3 linked regions of the Rhinolophus ferrumequinum genome follow. The main gene of each other region encodes a partner of the protein of the gene in region 3 in a complex. Links are inferred from orthologs where the notes say so. Each region holds a gene or a part of one and is shown on either strand. Other genes may lie near its edges.

Region 1 (6,311 bases), on a different chromosome or scaffold from region 3:
AAGGCACTGTCCATTTACTTTAGGATTATACTCAAGAAAATGCACTTGCTGGTAAACACAAAAAAATTCATTTTCTGTATAGTGGTTATATTTGTACAACTTACCAGAATTACTATTAAGTTTCACTTGAAAATGTTTTTCTTAAATATGTTTACTTTTATATGTTTAATTTAAAAAGATTTCTTGCAAAGGTTTATATTTTGTTCTTTTATCGTTCCCCCTCCCATCCATTTCTGTACCCAGAAAATTAAATATCCAAGGATTCCTGGATAAAACAGACAACCACTGGATTGATATGTTATAACTAACATATTTTAAAAATAGCTGTAAATAGGTTAAGTTATTGTTCTTCATCACACAGAAAGTAGCAATCACTAAAAATAACATTAAAAATTAGTGTGGGCATGAAGTATGGAATTTTAAAACAGTTTACTATGCTGATTAATTCAACATTTATATTTGCATCAGAACTTAAAAATCCCATAAATAAATAGAGCTCTCAATTATTTTTAAAAAATCAAGGGATAACATATGTATTTAGACATATTAGCAGCGTAAAGATGTATGCTTCAACACACTTATTGGGAAAACGTCTGAAAATATTACTACACTGAATTCAAGGGCATCCGCAGGAACCTGACATAAAAGTTCTCTAGAATAACAACATTTCAGGAAATTCCAAAAAAGGAAAAGGATCAAATAGGAAAGAGCCTCAAATTAATTGACAGAGTTCAGTGCTTGCTCCAACCGATTTTTCTCTCCATTGCAAAAATAAAACAGTCTCGGGATGGGTCGGCGAATCATTTAGATGAAAGTTCATCTACTGGAATAAATGGAGAGGCCGCCTGGGCAGGTGACACCGGAGAGTCGGTGGTAGTGCTGACTTTCGCTGGTGAGTTACAAGAAGATCCGGCACTGCTGCTGTTTCCATCAAGGGTATCAGAGGATACACACACACCAGGATCTGACAGCTGTGCAACGTCAGAAGAAAGCATGTTGGTGATGCCCTGGAAAAATCTCTTTGGCTGATATTCAGTTTCCATTTCACATTTTCTTTTCAATGGTCCAAGAACACTTGGTCTGATGCAATTAATGGGACTCTGGCTTCTCCGAGTAGTAAACCGGGTCGTTGGGCTGGGAATAGGACTTGGGGGCAATCCATTGCTACTCACAAAACTTTGCAAGGATGGTGAAAAACACTGCTTCCCAATTCCCCGGGTGGGTGACGGTGCTGGTGACACCGGAATGAAATCGATGCGCTTCGGAGAGGCAGATTTCTCCACATCGTTGTCACTCAGACTGAAACTTTCCTCCCAGGAGTGGCTTATCTGCATTGCGTTCTGCACCTCGCGCTCGTGGACCGTCTCTCGGTTGATCAAGTCCATGCCCTCCTCCTGTTTGATCTGGTGCAAGCGGCTGCTGTGCATGCGGACCGGGGAGGCCGGTAGCAGCAGGCCATGGCGGTTCGGGAACGTTGTGCTGTTCCGCCTGGCGCTCGGCGCCTCGGCCTGGAACACCGGGGAAGTGTCACTGAGGCCGTGGATCAGGGGGGCGCTATTAGACCTCCTGAGGCCCCCGCCGCCGCCACTGCCGCCGCCCTCCGCTGGGCTCCCGCCCGTACCCGAAGGCAGCTCCAGGTCTAGTTCCATCTTCTCCTGAGCCATGTCGGGGGGCAGGGAGGCGGGGGCGGTGCTCAGTCAGAGACCTAGGGCTCCCATTCCCCGCAGTCCAGGGCCGCCGCCGCCGCCGCCGCCACCGAGAATCTGTCAGCGGGCTCCTCCCTCTGCGCATGCGTGCCCCTTCGCGCAGGCGTCCTGCGCGCGCTCTCGCGGCGCCAACTTAATGCGTAATAGATGCGCCGCGGTCCTAGGGGGAGGGGTGAGGAGCAGTTGGACATCTAGTCCTTCAGTCCCTTCCGCAAATAGCTTTTGAGCGCAAGCTCGCATTGACATGTTAATCAAGTTACCATATTCAGGAGTATATATTTATAAAATAAAAGCTCTGAAAGAGAGGCCCTTGCTGATGTGAGGCTGTGTGACGGGGATTGGCCCTTGGCCTAACCAAGGACGGCTTCCCTAAGGGACAATCTGAGATCCGAAGAAGAGAAATGGGTGCAGTGGAGAACTGTCCGGGAAGCGGGAAGCTCGGGCTACCAGCCAGGTGGCAGGCGGGAACCAGGGTGGGAGAGAGGGCTGGCCTGATGTGACGTGGTGGAGCAGCGCAGATTTCTGGTCTTTATCCTGAGAACAATGAAAACTCCGAAGGTTTTCAAGCATAGGTGTAATAATAGCGACTGGAAAGCTCGCTGGCCGCAGTCTGGAGTGTAGATTATTGGGAGATTAGAACCCACAAGAAAAAGATCAGAAGGGAGGCGATCCTTTAGGTCAGAGAGGATGGAAGTTTGCACTAAGGTGTGGGAGAGGAACGGAGAAAACGGCCAATTTGAGAATTATTTGGGTTAAGGGGAAAAAATAACCTGTAACTGTATTACTATTGTTTTATTTAGTCATATTTCTAGCACAAGCATATGTGCTCAATAATGTTCATTCAGTACGAGACATTAAATGAAGGGAAAACCAATAGGTTCGCATACTTTAAAAATAAAAAGCACAATACTTGGCTCACGTAGTTAACACAAATTTTGATATTAAAATTTGTTGATATTAAAATTAAAATGGGTTTATACTTAATTCTTCATGTATTCATTCATTCATTCATTCATTATTCATCCATATTTTTTCTGTATACCTACTATGTGCCAGGCACTGTGTTAGGAATTAGACCCTAATATGGGGTCATTTATACAGGGCACAAAGAGATAATAGGCTATTTCAGATAGTAAAAAAAATAAAATAGGTTATGATAGAGCACTACTGGTAGAAGGCAGGGGGCAATTAGACACAGCTTAGATCTAAATGACAAGAAGTAAGTCATGTTGACTTCTGGTGGATGAATGTTCCAAGTACAGAGAATAGCAAGTGCTAAGGCCCAAGGCAGACATGAGCTTGGTGAGCTAGAAGAAGGAAACAGGGCCATGCAGCTGAAGCATAAGGGGGAGTGTTGGAGGGCGTAAAGGGGTTTGGATCTCATTATAAGTACGATGAAAAGCCACTGGGGAGCTTTAAGAAGGAGAGTGATATTATCTGGTTTAGGTTTTAAATATCACTTTGGCTCTGTGGAAAATAGGCTGAAAGAGGGAAGAGTGTAGGCAGAAAGACGGATTAGGAACCTTTGGCAACAATACAGACAAGATTATTGGACTAGGGTTGTAGCAGTGGCAATGAGAAGTAGATGGATTTAGGATATGTTTTGGAAATACATTTTATGTTTATATTTAGATGATGAAAGAAATAGATGATTCAAAGGCAACTCATATGCTTTTTTACTTGAACTGGGGCGGTAGATGATAGTATCATTTACTGAGATAGAAAAGGAGTGAGTTTAGAGAAGTGGAAATTAAGAGTTCTGTTTTGGTTGATTTGAGTTAGAGGTGGTTATTAGATATCCATGGGGCTATTTGAACTGAAAGAAAGCTTAGTGATTTTTGTTCATCCCCCTCTTTTTGCAGCTGAAGAAAGTAAGATCCAGAGAGGCTAAGTGACATATTCAGCATCACACAGCTTGTTTAATAGTGGGAACCAGTACCAGAATCCAGGTCTCTTGGTTCCTAGTCCATGCCTCTTTCCACCGTGTCTCAAACAGCTTTTAACTTGAATTCCCTGTAAAATACAGGTCCTGATGATAAAATAACGTTGATTATTCATGCCTAGAATTATGCAGAAACTGATTTAAGTTTTCCAAGTGCCAGGCATTCATTCAAAGTGCTTCACATGTAGTACCTCAGTTAATCCTCACAACAACTCTATGAAGTAGGTATTATTGTTCTCATTTTGCAGGGGAAACTGAGCTGCAGAGATTAAGTAATATCCCCAGGATAATAGTAAGTACCAGGATGTGGACCCAGAGCCTGGCACAATGTTACCCAGGGTTCTTCCTCCAAGTGCCATTTCCACTTGCAGATTGTTAGCAGCTTTGTGAAGGCAATGGGTTCTGAGACAGGATCTGAAGCATAGGTATTATAGAGATATTAATATAGAGATGACATTTCGAAGTGGCAGCATGATAATAAAATAGTGAATTTGGCTAACACATGAAGTACATGGAGAAGAATAGTAATGGGAAAAATGTTTTAAATGGAAGTTAGAGTGAGAGAATTGGAGCTCTGGATGCCTGTATTTAACATGTGAGGCCAGAGGGAACCATTGATGGTGTTTGACAAGAGGAGTGACACAATGAGAGCTGTACTCTAGGACCTGCCAGGCAGATCAAGGATGGAGCTAAGTGGAAGAACAGAAGGTGGAAAGAATCAACGTTTTCTAAGTGCCTACTACCTGCCAAGCACTTTACACACTCCATAGACCCTCTTAATCCTCACTGCGATCCTGTTGATACTGTTATGCTCATTTCATAGAAGGACAACTGAGGTTCAGAAACTGCAAAAGGTGATACAGCTATGTGGAAGAGCAAAGGTCTGAACCAATCTGAATCAAGGTCTCATTTCTAAATCTATATTTTTTTTGTTTCATTTCCCATGGATTAGAGAAGGAGAATTTGATGACGAACTCTGAGATGAAAGTACGGTCTCAACTAAAGTTGGGAATGGCAGGAAAAGGAGATGAATTTTGGGAGACCGGAAGGTAACAGCGGAACCTGCCAGGATGTACAGAGGATGAAGACAGAGGAGTCACAAATGACTGAAGTTCAAACATGAGTATCACAAGGAATGGTACATTATTAATTAAAAATGGAGGAGGATGGAGGAAGAGCATCCAGAAGAAAACTAATATTAAATAGAAAAAAAAGCATTAACTACAGAGTTTATTTTATAATATCCATAGCATTTTGCTAAGTTGCATATTACTAAATTATTTCCAATGTTTCTCAAATGTGATGACACTGTTCATCCATGCCTGGATAAATACAATTATTATCTTTACTGATAAAGCACAGAGATGGTGATAAGTCCACAAAATCAAACATCTCTGCCATTTGGTTTCTGTCTGAACCCACTGGAGATCTTCACTCATTTCCCTGTTTCTACCCTTGTCTCTGCTGTCAATTTTCCACCCAATGTTCCAGATCAGCCTTAAAAAAAAAAAGAAAGAAAGAAAAATACTTGAATAGTCCCTTCTCTGTTCAAAATGTTGCAGTGGATTCCTGCTCAGAGAAAAAGCTGAAGTTATTACAATCATCAATGGAGCCCTATTTGATGTGGGTCACTTCTCTCTCTCTGTCCCCACTTCTAACTACATGCCCCCTCACTGCCTCCCCTCAAACTGCAGAGGCCTCCTTACTGTTCTTTAGCCCACCAGGCTTACTCTTCTTCCAGTGGATGTCCACACTGTTCTATCCGTTCAGGGCTCTGCACAAATATCATTAACCGAGAGACCTTCCCTGACCTTCCTTATAAAAGCAACAGCAGTTCCCAACACCAAGCCTACTCTCCCATGCCCTTACTCTGTTTTTATGTTCCTCCAGAGCACCACATGACATATATGTATATACTGTTTTCTTGCCTCTTATACTCAAGGAGGTCATCTCCATGACAGCAAGCCTTTTGCTTTGTTCCCTGCTGTATGTCTAGTAGCTAGAACAGGGCCTTGTACACAGCACTCTAAATAGTTGCTGAGTCACTGTGTCAAGTAAATGTTAAATGAATGAATGAATGAATGAATGAACTAACGTAGCTTTGTCCAAAAGAGAAGAAAATGATTATTTGAAAATACAGTCTAACAGGCTTTTCTAGACTGACTCCAAGTGCTCCTAACTTTGACAATTCTTTTTCTTATATCGAGATTATTATTATTAATTATAGCGCCCTCCAGTCCATGGAGATAGTTGACATAATGGTTAGTTCAAGAAAACTAACAAACTGAAGCCCTAAGTTTCCATTCTTTTTCAACAGTATGCTGATACACGCTTGACAGAATTAAAATGCTCAGTGCTGAGGATTCTAAGCAGTGTTTAATATATTGAATTACTGCTTCCTCTCAAAGGAATAAAGGATAAATGAGAGAAAATAGCAGCCATAAAATGCAATTCAGCCTGTTGCAAAAGTGACACCAGAGGAAGGATCCAGGAGATCTCCTCTGAGTCAATTCACCCTTCTGGTTTCAATCTGGTATGAATTAAATACTATACTTAGTTGATACTCACTCCTAAGTCAGAAAACAAGACATCTATTCAATAGTTAAACTTTACTGTGATTAAGATTCTATTTTTTCAAACTAACAGGTAGTTTCCTTTTAATT
Region 2 (7,374 bases), on a different chromosome or scaffold from region 3:
TGCAGAGGTGGACCTGATCAGCTGGGCGAGTCAGTCTCCTCAGTTTCCCTCCTGTCAGTTTCTTTTCAATAACAAAGCTGAAAGAGGACCCAAGTAATACAGTTTAGCAGGAGACAAAAAGTTTCAGTGAAAACCTTTTCCAGGATGGGAAGGGCTTCAAAAGTTGGCGCTTCAGCTATTTAATATTAAGTAAGACACCAACAGATTGAGCTGAGAAAAAAATCAAATTGGCCTAATATGACTTTAGAAAAGGCGGCTGGAAGTGGCAAGTTTCAAGAAACAGGCAGGCCACTGACATTAGTATCTGGTAGCAGTCCTCTGATCTGGGGGAGAAACCTTAAACGTGTCTCTCTGGATACTCACTAAAGTCAGCAAACAATGTCCGCAGTCTGTGCTTGACTGATATTAACAACCACACCTTCAATTTTCCAGCCTGGACCACAGTCTCCCTCCTCCCACCCCCCTCCCAACCCAGACTGGTGATGAACAGGCAAGGAGGCAGTGAAGTTGCTTCAAAATATTTAATACGTGTTAGACACGTAGAGTTACATTTTTATACAAAAATCAATACAACGAAGGAGAAAATACTGTACAAAAACCTTGTCAGCTCCCCCAACCTTTATACAACAAAGACTGGAGTCACCATATCTACAAAACCATAAGATCTTTCCACTTAAGGGTTCTGTCTGTAAACTTTGTTTCATTAAACATTTTTTAAAAGCACTGTGTAGTAGTTCTGAACTAGAGCTTTTAAAAATATATCTTTTCTCTATAAACTCCGTATTTCCAAGCTTGACCTCTTCTGAGAAGTTCGTCAAGCGTTTTTCCCTCTGGGGAAGACAAGGGCCGCTAAGATTCCCCTTTCCCAGAGTAATCACAGGGTATAAACGGTGCTTCAGTGAGAGAGAAAGGTGGGGAGGGAGAGAAATAATACAAGTCTCGACTGCAGGCTAAATCCCTCTAGTCTTAGGAAATCCTGCGAGGAAACGCCACTCCTGGCCCTGGTACCGTTCTAGCTTTCATGTGAGGGGTGTGTGTAAAGTCCCTTCCTGCCCCAAGAACGCGCGGGGAACTCCCCGGCCCTTTTCGCCGCTTCCTTCTTGGGGCTGCTGGCAGAGGAAAGTCCCTGTCTGCCCCCCGTCTCCTAAGCCCTGGCTGGGGAAGGGGTGATGCATTCCAGAAGGACAAAATAGTCTTAAATCACAAAACAAACTTACAACACAGACATACACAGACACACAAGTGAACGAGCGTCCTCTTCCGATAAGCCTCACATGCCCAAGTCTCAAGAAGGGCCCCGAGAGAGAGGCCGGCACAGCAGGGTGCCCAAGGCCACGGGCAGCGCGCACTGCCGGGCAGCTGCCACAGTCTCCCCAACACGCTCGGCGCCCACGGTCTCCGGGTCGTCCTCGCAGCTGGGAGAGGCCCAGCCCTCGCGTCGGTACGCCAGCTGCTCACTCGCCTGCCCGCACGGAGACCGAGGGCTCAGAAGGCCACGATGGCTGTGCTCCAGGGGTTCATGTCTCTCAGCACCGGCTTATCGCAGCAGATCTGCCCGGGCTCGGCGGCTTCCGGACCGTTCTCCTCTCCGTCGGCTTCCTCCCGGCCGCCCCCGGGGCTTTTCCGCAGGAGTCCCGAGAAGCTGGAACCGAAGATGCTAATAAGGTTAGCCACGTTCCCGGTCTCCATCTCCTCCTCCTCCTCGGCCGCCGCCCCGCTCGACGGCTCCTCCAAGTCCCGGCGGGGCTTCTTCAGCGGGGTCGAGCTGGGCGCGGGGCAGCCCGCCGGGCCACCGACGCCACCCGCCCCTGCCGCGCCGCGCTTCCTGGGGCCGATGGGGGGCGGCGCGGGGGCCTCTTCCTTCGCACAGCAGCAGTCACCGCGGGGGGTGGCGCCCAGCGCCCCCGGCTGGTCCTCCCCTCCTGGGGGGCGGCCGCAGTGGTGGCTCGCCGCCCGGGCCACCTCGGGGAAGACTTCCGAGGCTCCGGCGGGGTTCCCGGGTCCTCCGGCCGCTGCCTCTCGCGGTCCCTCCATGAGGCGCCAGGCAGGTCCCGCAGCCGCTTGTCCGCCCAGGACAGCGTCCCCGGCGTCGATCCCGGGAGCCGCGGGCTCCGCGTCAACCGCCCGCTGAGCGTCTGGGACGGCGGAGCGTTCCGGGTGCGGCTGGGTCTCCTGCCAGGCGGCCGGGACGGCCGGCGGTGCCGGCTCTCCCCATCCCGCGGCGGGGCCGGCCGCAGGCTCCCCGGGCAGCTGCGGCAGCGCCATCGGGGTCCCTGACGGACCGGCCAGGTAGAGGCCGGGGCACGGGTCGCTCAGGTAGACCTGGCGGGCGCTGCGCAACACCAGCGAAACCAGAAGGTTCTTGTGCAGCTTGATGCCGCCGCGCTGGACCCGCGAGTTGTAGATCTTGCCCAGGGAAATACTGACGATGCGGTGCGCCTCCAGCTTGAACTCCATCCTGCCTGGAGCCCCTTCACGGGCAGCACGGAGAGGAGGGTTGAGCCCCGGCTAGGGTCCAAAAACAGGGAGAGAAATTGGAGGAGTCAAGAAATCCTCCCCAAGACTCCAGAAAGAAACGATTCCTGTGACGCGCTTATTGACCTCCGCGTCCCCTCCACAACAGGTAACTACCCAGTTTCCTGTCCGGTCAGGTGCCTGGTCGCTAACTGAGGGCAGTCCCACTCCCCCGGCGCCTTATATATGCTCCTCGCCCGCCAATCGCGAAGGGCCGCCAACCGTTCCGGGGCGGGTCAACGCGCCCTCATGCTCTACACGCGGCCAATCGGAGACCGAGGAGGGGCGCCAGAGCCATTCGAACGTTAGTCCCGCGGAGCAGGCTCTTAAAGGGGACTACGCGTGTGGCGAGGGACTGGCGGGTTGTGCGGCGTCTGTGTTCCTAGGGCGGGTGATGGGGAGGAGGCATAGCCACCGTGTTGTTTGTAGGTAAAGAATCTGGTTTGTGCGCTGGTGTGCCAGAACCAAAGCGAGCTAAGCCATTCGAACTTTCATCCGAGTATGGTGGTGGACCTTGCTCTGCAATAAAGTCCGGATCTGTCCTGGTTCACCTCCCCCCACCCCCGCCCCCACACTTCCATTTTCAAGGCAGCACACACCTGTAAGCTCCTGGCCAACCCTGGCAGAAATGAAGATAACAGCATAATGCGGCAAGGGAAAGCCCCTGGACAACAATAGTATTACTATAAGAGATTTAGCAGATATTAATGTTGTATGAGTCCCTTGCCCCCTAGAGTCACATACACTCTTAGCAGCCATCAATTCTAACACGGAATGAAGAAAACGGGGGTTCGAAAAGTTTCTCAGTTTTGGTTGCTTATCAAGGAATTGTGTCTAGGTAAAAAGTTACTGGTGTTCCACTAAAGCCAGCATCTATTATTGTGTGTTCTCCAGATTTTAGAACAAACCGTTGTCACACAGGTTATGAGGAAAGGTGGGACAAGTTCTCCACAATGATTTTTCCTTCAACCCAAGGACTGACCAGCCACCCTTGAAAAAAAATCGAGCAAGTTCTAAAAATACAAATAGAGAAGTCCTGTGTTCTCATCATGATGTCATAATTTTATTTTGTGTCAAGGTAAAAATATAGGGGAAGAGTGTTCCAGAATTTTCTGGTCAGTCAACAACTTAGCCCTTCTACTGATCCTTAGTACATGGCATTTAGGGCAGAATCACCACAGGGTTGGCCAGGGTCCTAGACTGGGTTCCTGGAGAATCAGTTTCAGTTAGACCCACCTAAGCTCCACCACAGACCTGCCTGACAACTGAGTGAATAACCTCAGAACACCTTAGTTTCGCCAGCTCTAAAAGGGAGAAATCTCACACACACACACACACACACACACACACACACACACACACACACACACATCTGCTCTATTATGCAGAAGGGAAATGACAACTCAGCCACAATCTGAATCATAAAACGAAGTACAGCTTTCTCGGAGTCCAGGTGGAACTGTTGGCCTGACCAGAGTTTGGCCAAGTAGTCTACAGACACGCCACAGAACACAACTGATTTTACCACAGGCTAATTGATATAAACAAGAGTTAAGTTCCCACAGCATCTCATCAACCTTATAACGAAACAATTGAAGAAAATGACATTGGAGGATTTGCTATATTTAGTTAGAAGAAATACTAGTGAAAAGTGGGCTTGATGATGGCCAAGTCACAATCAGAGGCTCCAAAGGATGTGATGGCTCAGAAATATCACAACTTATTGAAGGTAACTGACACACCGGTCCATGAGACCCAGAGTTCCTTCCCTCCAGGAATTTGCAGCTCACATAAAGAAGGAGAGGAAATAATAACACAAATAATTACAAAAGCAAGCCTTGCAGTTTGAGGAATAACATGAGAGAAATGTTTCCATTTTCTCTTTCTTTGAGAGCTATTAGTTACTAAAAAACACTGAGTAAGAGTACAGGCTCGGAAGACAAGCTTCTTGAGTTGCAATCCCAGCTCCACATTTTACTTGCAGTGTGACCTCTGGAAAGTTATTTCACCTTTCTGTGCCTTGGTCTTTTTCATCTTAAAATAGAGATAATAATAGTGGCTACCTCTTAAGAGTTTTTGTGAGGCTAAAACAAGGTAACACATGCAAAGCTCTTAGAACAGCCTGGCATATAATAAGCTACCAATGTATTTCAGTTATCAGAACACATCACCCCCCAATACAACTTTGGGGTGGGAGAAGAGGCATGGGGTGGGAGGAGGAACGGAGATGGGAGAAAGAAGTTGCATTTGAGGAGGACACAGAAAAACTCTGAAGTAGGACCCACAAGTTCCAAGCAGCAGGAGCAACAGAGCCCCTGGTGGAGACCATCTCATTTGGCAGGTGTGCCAGACACCTACAGGAGGTGGAAAAGGATGGAAACTGAGGCTGGTGCTACATGATAATGGGTCGTGGATGCCTCAATAAGGAGATGGGGGCCACAGGAATCTACTAAAGGTTATTGAGTAAGGGAACCAAAGAATGGATTCTAGAACAGTACACTTAATTACAAAGAGAACCACTTAATCGTAAAGCACTTGTGGAAGTTTAGGCAAAGGGTCATGAAGGACTGAACTCGGTGGAGGTGGCAAGAATGAAAAAAACTGAGAGACAAAAGGAGCTTTAGTGATGACCCGGGATGCCTCCACCCACCTAAACAGGTCACTGATAAAGCCGTCCTGACCAATCTGGGCGGGGTGTATCACCATCCTGCACCGTGTGAAACATTCTCTTTCATCTCTGACCTCCTCACTTTCCGCTGTCATGCCCAGGGCCCCTCCCAAACTGTACTCTCAACAGAGGCAGGAGTCCATCTCATATTTGTAGCCAGGCAATAGTGAAAATACTTAACTGTGTTGCCACAGTTAACACAGTTAACACACAGGGCAACACAGGCACTAAGCATCAGAGCGGAGTCCTGGAGACGCTTAGAGGGCCAGGAGTTATGGGAGGCTCCTACAGGAGGGGCAAGATGGCCAGGACGTGGGGCACTCAAGGGGTCTGCCAACTGGCATGGAAGACTTTCAATGTTTTAACAACAGGGGTGGGTAGCCATAGCACTATATACTGAGTGATTATGCATTTGGATTTATGAATCACTAATAATGATATTGTCTGCCAGGCACTGCGCTAGCCACTTTACAGGCATTATTTATCATCTGTAGAAAGTTCTGAAAATATTACATATCATTATATCCATTTACAGATGAGGAAACTAGGATTTTAAAAGTTTAAGTAATTTTCCTAAAGTCATACAGCTGTAGGCAGAGAGGGTGGATTTCAACTGTGAACCTATTTAAAGCTTGAGGGAAGGGCTGTGAGGTGCCACTACCTTATTCTACCTCTTACTTGCTATATGACTTTTGGAAAGTGATTTCACATCTCGGTGAAATAAGAAAATCCAGTCTGAGTTTTGCAACATTTCTGTGCCTAGTCACCTATTGTGTAAAATGGGAATAATAAACATACGTACAGTCTCTAGCACCATACAAGCGCTTACTAAGTCTAGTTATGGTTATACCAGTGCCTAGCTCAGTACCAAGCACACAGTAGGTACACTCTTAGTCCCAGTTGAATTTTGAATGCGTTTTCTATTATACCACATACTAGGTGCTCTATAAATATCTGCTGACTTGAAATTGAGTGCGATCACAATTATTATCCTCTACTCCTGAGACAACAAAGTACAACCTGGAGAACTCATCTTTGGAGGGCCTAGGCTCTTAGGATCAGCAAGCTTCACCTCCGCCTACCAGAAAAAGTGGGAAGATACAGAACATAGTCTTCTAAGCTTTAGGAAGCAGGTAATTGAGAGAGTTTGCTGTCATCAATCTTTGAGATTTTCTCAGTTAAAAAGAAAAAAAAAACTGGTAGCACTATGAGAAACACGAAGGGTGTCCGAAGGACAGAGGAAGCAACTGCTCTGTGCTCTGGAAGAAGTGGCCAAGCATGTCCATTGGGTCTGGTCTGTCCGTCCATCCCCCATCTTCTCCACTGGGCACAAGGAGATGAACACGCGGAGCGTTGGCCACAGTTGTCCCCAATCAGGCACTATGGGTCTCCGGCCTGGGGATTCCTCTCAGGAAAGGGCTGTCTACCCACTGCTATTGACTTTGTCTTGTTTGCATGACTCGTTGAAGGCTCAGTATTATCAGATGGTTGCAGAGCTCCTATTGCCTTAAATTGGGTCTAGTCTATATAAGAACAATGCAAACCCACTATGGATTATGCAAACAATAGCTCCGTGAGAAGAAACGAGTGAAAAGGGGGTGGGTGAAATAAAAACATCTGCACTGTGCCTACCTCTCAATGTTAGAACATTTGGAAATTTTTTTTTTTAGTCAAAGTTGCTCATGTGAGTGAATGATTATTTGTATGACATCCTGAATTGTTTAGGGGGGAAAGCGCTATAAAAATACATTGTTAGCATTCTACGTAAGCAATATTCCTCGTGCTCCTCTGAGAACACACAAAATCCACTTTTTCATTCAACTTTTTCTCTCTCACAGTTCTGGCATATTTTACATCCTTTCTTTCCTCTTGACTGCTGAGCAACTTAACAATTGTCACCCCAATAAATTAAAAATAAATAAATAAAAATTAAAAAAAAAGATATGAAATGTTTACCATGCTAAAAAAAATAGAGTTTCTTTATCTTCAAATAGCATTTGACTAGGGGTGGGCACGGAAACCTCGCTTCTTTCCTCCTCCCCATTTCCTTTCCTAAACTATTATAGGCCCACCCTCCTTCTTGTCCTAAATGTTGTCTTGGTTCAGAAAGCCTTAGGTGGTTCTTATGATCATTTTTGTCATACTTTGCCTTTTTTAATACTGCGAAGGAAAACAAATTCCTCAATAAGCAG
Region 3 (6,870 bases):
TAATATTTCTGAATGATGAAATAATGCAACTACTTTTTGGGAAATAATGCCTCTTTCATCTAAGACCATTTCAGATGAGTGCAAAACCCTAAAGTTTCAAAACTTTAAACTTCTGAAATACACTAATAAACAATTTTGGGGGTAAAATTAAGAATTAAGCACTTCAACTGATTGAATCCAGCTTCTAAAAGCACAAGAATAAGGCAGCCCCTCAGAAGACGTGCAATATATCCATAGCACTGTTTTCTTGCCCACGTAAATCAATCCTTACAAGACAATAAAATGCATCCCTTGAACAAGCATTTCTTCACAGAATATGCCAATCAACACCACAATCTCAAAATAGGCAAGTTCAAAAAAACTAAAAATCTTCCTTCAGAAATAAAAGATGCTGTCAAGATGCTTCTGAGCTAAATGCTGATGCACCTATTTCAGCTTAATTATCTAAAAATTATATACAAACATGAAGATGCATCACCATTTATTTGTGAGTGAAATTTATATAGCAAGGAAACCTTTATCATACAGACCTCAGACTTTTCTTTTCATGGGTTTCATATTTATAATCTACTGTTCCTTTCATTTAATTCAGGAAAAAATAATAAAATGAGGCATAAAGAATGAAGAATTTAAGACTACTTTCCAGAAAGGTTAACTTTTAAAACTGTTCTTCCATTGCTTGGACAATACAAAATGTTCTTCAACTATTAACAGACTCATCTGCGAGGAAAATTTTCAGTAATCAAGATTTTGAACATTCTATACTCAAATTCTGCATTATTAAATGCTTTCTTACCTTCTGCTACATCATCATCTACTGCTCCTTTCACCTGAGAAAAACACCACTGAATATCATTCCCTCCTCCAGCTCCTAGAAAAAAGAAAACATACCAATTAAAACTGAGCTCCGTTCATGTTTACTCCGGTCAACACTGAGATGATATCCATGGTTGGCATGATACTAATAGCCTCATACTGCCCACATACATTACCACCACCCCAGAGCACTAATTTGAAAAAAGGCTAGTCCCCAATAGCTGGTATTGCTTTAGAAAACAAGAGATTCGGGGTATGAAATATTTAAAGGCCATGTACTGGCATTAACACTATACATGTGTTTAAAACATCCTTTTCCCTCAAATACAGTAAAAACCTTACATTCAAGCACGACCTACCAGGAAAAAGCAAATACCAAAAGTTAGAGAGTTTTCCTTTAAAGAGTGTTTTCCTTTAAAAAGCCTGCTTCTAGAAGAGTCAATAAGGTTAAACTACCATAAAACATGGCACGAGGAGAAAACTTCAGGAACATTACTGCCTGCCTGAGGAGCAAGGATTCATAAGAACCTATCACCAAAGAGCACATACAGCAAACACAACACTCACCACCCATTTCTTGCATTTCATTACCAGCAAATCACTAGCTCGAGAGGAAAAGCAGAAATGAATACTGGTGAAGAGACTGTCAAAAGGAAGCTTGTTTTGCCTCCCTTCACCTTATCCCTCAGATTCCAGAGGACCTTGCAGAGAATTAATTTTGCTAATTTGTCATCTTGTGCGAAACAATTTTAATTTCACTTAATTATTCGACAAGGCCAAAGAGCAACTTGTTTATAGCAAACCATAAGTAAACCCAACATGTTAACTTTTCAAAGATTTAATCATCTATCTAAATATTGAAAGAAGCCCGGAAAATTGGTTTAGTCTCTGAATGTTTCTATTTCACTTCTAAGCACTTGAGGAGGAAATGTCCTGCATCGATGGATAAAGAAACTGAATCCAGATCTAGAATTGATTCTACTACATGAAGGATACTCAGCAACAGCAAAATGTACAAAAGTAATCCTCAAAGCAATTATCTTGCTCTTCCTTCACTTCCATTCCTTGCTAAATATTCCAACCTGGTTTTCTCTATGTATCCCCTCTCCATCCCAAGCTTTTACCTAAATCCCTCTACCCATGGCTATTTATATCACTGAACTCCACAACTATTTTAACTAACTCGATTGAATGCCTTTTGGGAAAAGGACATCTGCACAAAAGCTAACATGCAAAACGGAAAGTTGAAATCACATTTTTCATGCAACTTGCTGTATTCAAGACCTTGCACTCTTTGGATGTAAAGGGTAAGAAACGAAAGGGAGATGGTTGGAAACAAAACAAATCAGTCTCAAAAATATACGTACCCACAGTGGGGAAAAATACACATATGTACCGATTGCATTTTAACTTGTAAAGCACTCTTCCTTCTCAGTGCAAAATATATTTGTATAAACACTCAAGAAGGCTTGCAGCAGGGGAAAAAATAGTAATTAAATGAAGGAAGATCCGCCAAAAAGCCCGGGGCGGGGAAGTGGGGGGAGCAGAGGTTACACCAGGCTCCAAAGCTGTGGGGACAAATCTGCACTCGCCCCCACCCCGCCCCACCCACGCCTTTACCCCACAGCTCGCCGGCATACACCCCACCCCCATCCATGCCAAGGTTCCAGCCCTCATTTTAAAAGCCATTTCGGTATCACAGCGACCACTCGCCTCACCAGAACCCTCCCCACCCTCACCCACCCCACTTGACCAATTCCCCGAAATCCAAGGGGCGCCCCGTGGCTCTATGAGAGGCAGAGGCGGTCGCTAGGGGGTGATGGAGGGAGGAGGAAGGAAGCGGTGCCTTGTCACTGGCCGAGGGTGATTTCTCCTTTACCTGCCATGTTGCGCTGCAAATGGTGACCCTGCTGGGTTCCTCGGGGTCTCTGCTTCCTGAACTCACCCCCCTCACCTGGGGATGGGGGGGTAGAGAGGGCGGATGGCGGCGGATGGCACCTGTGGGGGGAGGGGGCGGGGGTCGGGGAAGAAGGAAGGAGGGGCGGGCAGACCAGCCAGCAGGATGGTGGATTTCACTCTTGTGCTTCCCCGCTCTTGCTCTTTCTTTAGCAGCGGCGGCGGCAGCTACGACAGCGACGGCGGCGGCAGCGGCAGGGGCTCCACTTTCAAAATGGCGCCGGCTGGCCTGGCCGGTGACGTCACCGGGGGCGGAGCCGCCGGGCTGGGCCAGAAGGGCGGGGCGGGGCAAGAGCTGGGACGGACAGCAGAGGGGAAGGGGCGGGGGAGCTGCCGGGCAGGCTTCTGGCTCCGCCCCTTCCTCCCCCTCCCGGCTGCTGTGTCCTAGGTGGCTAGCCCGTGCCGCGCCCGGGAACGCACGCTGATGATCTGGTCCCTGTACCGGCTCTCCCCGTCTAAGCCCCGCGGCCCTGCTGCACATCACGGTGTCCCAAGCCTTCGTGACAGTGTCCTTACCCTGGGACGGGCTCAGCTGTCCAGTTCAAGTGCTCACTGAGGGATTCGTGCAGACCTGTGTCTTTTTAGAGAATACCAGTATTGCTACTTAAAATAGTGACCCTGTGGGTTAGCCCTGAGTCCACTGAAGAAAAGGGACAGTGGTGCAAACTCGCTGCTTAGCCAAGGTGAAAGTTCACAGAACTTAAAAGGACGTAGCTGGAATGGTTCCATCTGGGTGACCCGGGAACTGAGGCGAGAGTCCTTGACGACTGAAAGCAGTTAAGAGTGGTTACTAAACAGAACACTGAGTTTGCTAGTAGCAGAATATGGCTGGAAGAGTGGCCCAGTTCTGTCCAGCTAAAAGTGTAGAAACAGTGTTTAAGAGCTGGGCTCTGAAACCTGGCTGCCAAATGCTAAGTCCACACAAGAGATAATGGTAACAATTCTACTTTATAGGATTGTTTCAAAGATTAAATGACTTAATTTGAGTACATAACTGTTAGCTGTGGTTATTATTAAATTTGTATTGAAAGCATCTTCAATAGATTTAAGAGGTATAAGAAAAAAATAAACAGAAAACACTAGTTATCAGTCAAGAGGGCATGTGCACTTCATTGAAAGATGAATTAATGATGCAGTCACAATATACTACTGTACATTTTACATGTCACTTAATCTCCACAGTAATCCCATGAGATAGATATCCAAATTTTGGACATGAAAAACACCTGCAAAGTATTTAGAATTTGACCTTAAGGCTGAAAAGAGTGATAAGGCATTTGGAGACCAAGGGGAAGTTTACAATATTTACCTCCTGTCCATCATTTCCACTTTCTACCTTAGTCTTGCTCTCCAGAAGAGTTCAATTACAAAACAAGATTCAGAATTCTTCCACATGAAACAGCTGCACCACTGTATTATTATTCCTCTGTTTCTACATTAATATTTCTCACTTTACCAATGAACAAATCAAAACTAAAAATCCACCCTGTATCTGTCATCTTTCAGCTACCTGTACAAACAGGTACAACATTTCACTTCTCTGTTTGCTGTATTTACTTCTATTTTGGTTGATTCCATAAATTTATTTCTCAGCATGTGCCTTTACTATTCATTTTCCTTTTCACTAGTGAGAGCTCTCCACCTTAACCAGAACTCAGAGGGAGCGAGGGAGGGAGGGAGGGAGGGAGAAACAGAGAGAGAGAGAGAGAGAGAGAGAGAGAGAGAGAGATTGAGAGAGAGAGAGAGAGAGAGAGAGAACACAGACCGTTCAACTGAAAACTAGCACCCCTATATGCAAATCATTTTTCTTTTTTATGCTTCAATTTTTGCCACGTGTAAGATTTGAATCTTCACACATCCTGAAAAATGATTTGGTCTATATAAATGATGTGTTCTTCTTAGAAGACAAGAAAGCTTGCCTAGAAACTGCGGTAATGATAACAAAAGTTCATACAGCACTGACAATGTCCTGGACGCTGTTCTAAGAGCATTGTATACAGTCTAGAGGGCACTCCATGTCATGAGATGAGCTAAGGGGGGTGTAATATCGAAGGTCTGTGCATCCTGGCGCCCAGGTACACGCAACCTGGCACGTTTTGACCCTGAACAGTCATATCAGTGGAGCACAAGCCGCCTCCCTTTCTTCTGAATGGCTCTTAAGAAGAGAGGCCAGAATACCCACCAGCATAAAGGCAAGGGTTGCTCTAGTCTAGCCCCCCTTCCTTATCTTGCATTCTAGCCTCCATCCTCTGTACTAGGGCTTCTGTCCCTACCACTTCACTGAAATGGTTTCTGTCAAGGTCTTCGATGATCTTCATGTTACCAAATCCAGCAGTCACTTCTTTGGTTTTGTTAGCTTCCCAAAAGCATTTGAAATGACTAATTCACGCCATCCTTACTGAGACCATTTTTCCTTGACACGCGATTTGTTTCCTTCCAACCTTTCTAGCCACCCCTTTCAGTTTTCTTTGCTGACTCCTTCTCCCAGACTATCCTCTAAATGTTAGGGTGATCTGTCTCCCTGGCCTCTGTCCTGGGTCCCCTTCTCTGATCACACACTCTTTTGGGCAACCTCTTATAGTATTTCCATATATTTACAGATGTAAATACCATGAATTTACTAGTGGCTGCCAAATCTAGATCTCTAGCTCTATCCTTACCCCAAAATTGCAGATACACACACACACCTCTACCTGCCTACTTGACATTTTTACAAATGTCCAATAAGTTTGTTTGAACAAGCACTGCCAGAACACAAGTCTCGATTCTGTGTTCCCTCCATTTGGGTTGATGCTTTTTCTCTGCCTGGAAAATCACTATCCAGTTACCACTCCGCTCCAACATTCCCACATGCCTATCCCTCTTTCCTTCCTCAGCCAGTAAAAGGTTCTTTAAAAAACAATTCGGATGTAACTTCCTCCAGGAAAGCTTTGCTCATTTCCACCCCCATTCCTTACTCACCTTAAAATGGGCTGGGTGCCCTTCCTAAATAGTCTCATACAATCTGATGCACTTCTCTCTTACTAGATTATGTTTAAATTATTTAAATATGTGTCTGTTATTAGACTGAATTCTTTGAGAGTAGGAAATATTCTTATTCATCCCTGTATCACCAGCCACATAATTTTTTGGATTAATGGATGAATGAATAAATCTCTGGCTTGGGAAGAAAACCAGTGGAATATTGGCTTCTTAAAGCTTGCCATATCATAAATGTTTTCACTCACCCTTCTTATGCCTAGAAGAAGGAGGCGTTTTGCAAATTATCTAGGTTATCCTGATGTACATTTGTTAGGCAATAGTTGGTTAAAGATGTAAGTTGCTTATAGATAGATTCATCCCAACTACTTGCATCCAACTGGTCCTTTATCCCTGAATACATATTATCCAAGGAAATTCCATGGGACACCATTCCCTCATCCACATTCTACCATGAGAGCATTTTTTCAAGGGAGCCCCTAGTCAGCCCTTCAACACCTGACCACTTGTGAGATGAACAAATAGCTCCCTGCAGAACTGAGTTCAGCTTAGACACACAAGAGGAAACTCGCTGTGGGTTTTCCCTGTGAAGTCCTGCAGAGCCTATAAGTCCTGCAGCTGTTCTACTTACAAGCTGAGCTGAGAGGTACCAAGAACACCCACAATCCTGCCAGCAGAATGGAGCTAACGGACTCACCCGTGGGTTGTTTGCAAGACAGCTTTTTAAAGTGTATTATACAATGAGAGGAGAATTACTTGCAAGTTGTTCTTTTCCTTGGAGTTAAGACGAACACAAACCCTCTTCTACACTAAATGAGAAGTGGCACTCTTTAGATGCTTCTTTCCTCTAGACAAGTTAGAACTAGGGGTGTCTAAGAAAGACCGTGAACTCCAGGGTAAAAGGAGAAGTTCCTAATTAGAAAACGATAGTTTAAAATATTGGTAAACCCACCACAGCCATGCTTTCTGATATGGAGCAGATTCAAGGGCTTTACAGGGGAAAATTTCAAGTATATTTTTATATACTTCCTTCATATCTACAAATTTGGCCTGAAGTCAGCTTCCCAAAACTCTGTAAAATCTAGACTATAATGACAATTCACACAACAACATTCAAGG

The links. The genes of interacting proteins can lie anywhere in the genome.
Region 1: the proteins of PPP2R2A (region 3) and PABIR1 are in contact, whole or in part, in a cryo-EM structure (PDB 8SO0), measured with the Homo sapiens proteins. The link is inferred for Rhinolophus ferrumequinum from reciprocal best matches to the Homo sapiens genes PPP2R2A and PABIR1. Residues at the interface, in NP_002708.1 of Homo sapiens: Phe84, Leu87, Lys88, Ser89, Leu90, Tyr178, His179, Asp197, Met222, Glu223, Leu225, Thr226, Glu227, Val228, Tyr337, Asp340, Phe343; in NP_612206.5 of Homo sapiens: His81, Ser82, Ser83, Arg84, Leu85, Ile88, Lys89, Glu92, Arg99, Glu100, His103.
Region 2: the proteins of PPP2R2A (region 3) and IER5 are in contact, whole or in part, in a cryo-EM structure (PDB 8UO5), measured with the Homo sapiens proteins. The link is inferred for Rhinolophus ferrumequinum from reciprocal best matches to the Homo sapiens genes PPP2R2A and IER5. Residues at the interface, in NP_002708.1 of Homo sapiens: Glu91, Ile92, Glu93, Glu94, Asp116, Tyr178, His179, Asp197, Leu198, Met222, Leu225, Thr226, Glu227, Val228, Thr230, Ser247, Phe280, Phe281, Glu283, Ile284, Ser287, Cys334, Tyr337, Glu338, Asn339, Asp340, Phe343, Lys345; in NP_057629.2 of Homo sapiens: Ala7, Arg9, Ile10, Ile13, Ser14, Lys17, Arg25, Gly26, Lys29, Leu30, His31, Lys32, Leu34, Leu35, Val36, Leu38, Val39, Leu40, Arg41.

What each region holds. Positions count from the first base shown.
Region 1 is NC_046295.1:35,738,177-35,744,487, reverse strand, and holds PABIR1 (PPP2R1A-PPP2R2A-interacting phosphatase regulator 1), read right to left. Parts: upstream 1,800-6,311; 5' UTR 1,665-1,799; coding exon 801-1,664; 3' UTR 508-800; downstream 1-507. UniProt on the Homo sapiens protein: Acts as an inhibitor of serine/threonine-protein phosphatase 2A (PP2A) activity. Inhibits PP2A activity by blocking the substrate binding site on PPP2R2A and the active site of PPP2CA.
Region 2 is NC_046305.1:13,388,883-13,396,256, reverse strand, and holds IER5 (immediate early response gene 5 protein), read right to left. Parts: upstream 2,686-7,374; 5' UTR 2,458-2,685; coding exon 1,486-2,457; 3' UTR 508-1,485; downstream 1-507. UniProt on the Homo sapiens protein: Plays a role as a transcription factor. Mediates positive transcriptional regulation of several chaperone genes during the heat shock response in a HSF1-dependent manner. Mediates negative transcriptional regulation of CDC25B expression.
Region 3 is NC_046301.1:41,060,602-41,067,471, forward strand, and holds the start of PPP2R2A (serine/threonine-protein phosphatase 2A 55 kDa regulatory subunit B alpha isoform), read right to left. Parts: upstream 3,004-6,870; 5' UTR 2,703-3,003; coding exon 2,696-2,702; intron 872-2,695; coding exon 797-871; intron 1-796. UniProt on the Homo sapiens protein: Substrate-recognition subunit of protein phosphatase 2A (PP2A) that plays a key role in cell cycle by controlling mitosis entry and exit. Involved in chromosome clustering during late mitosis by mediating dephosphorylation of MKI67.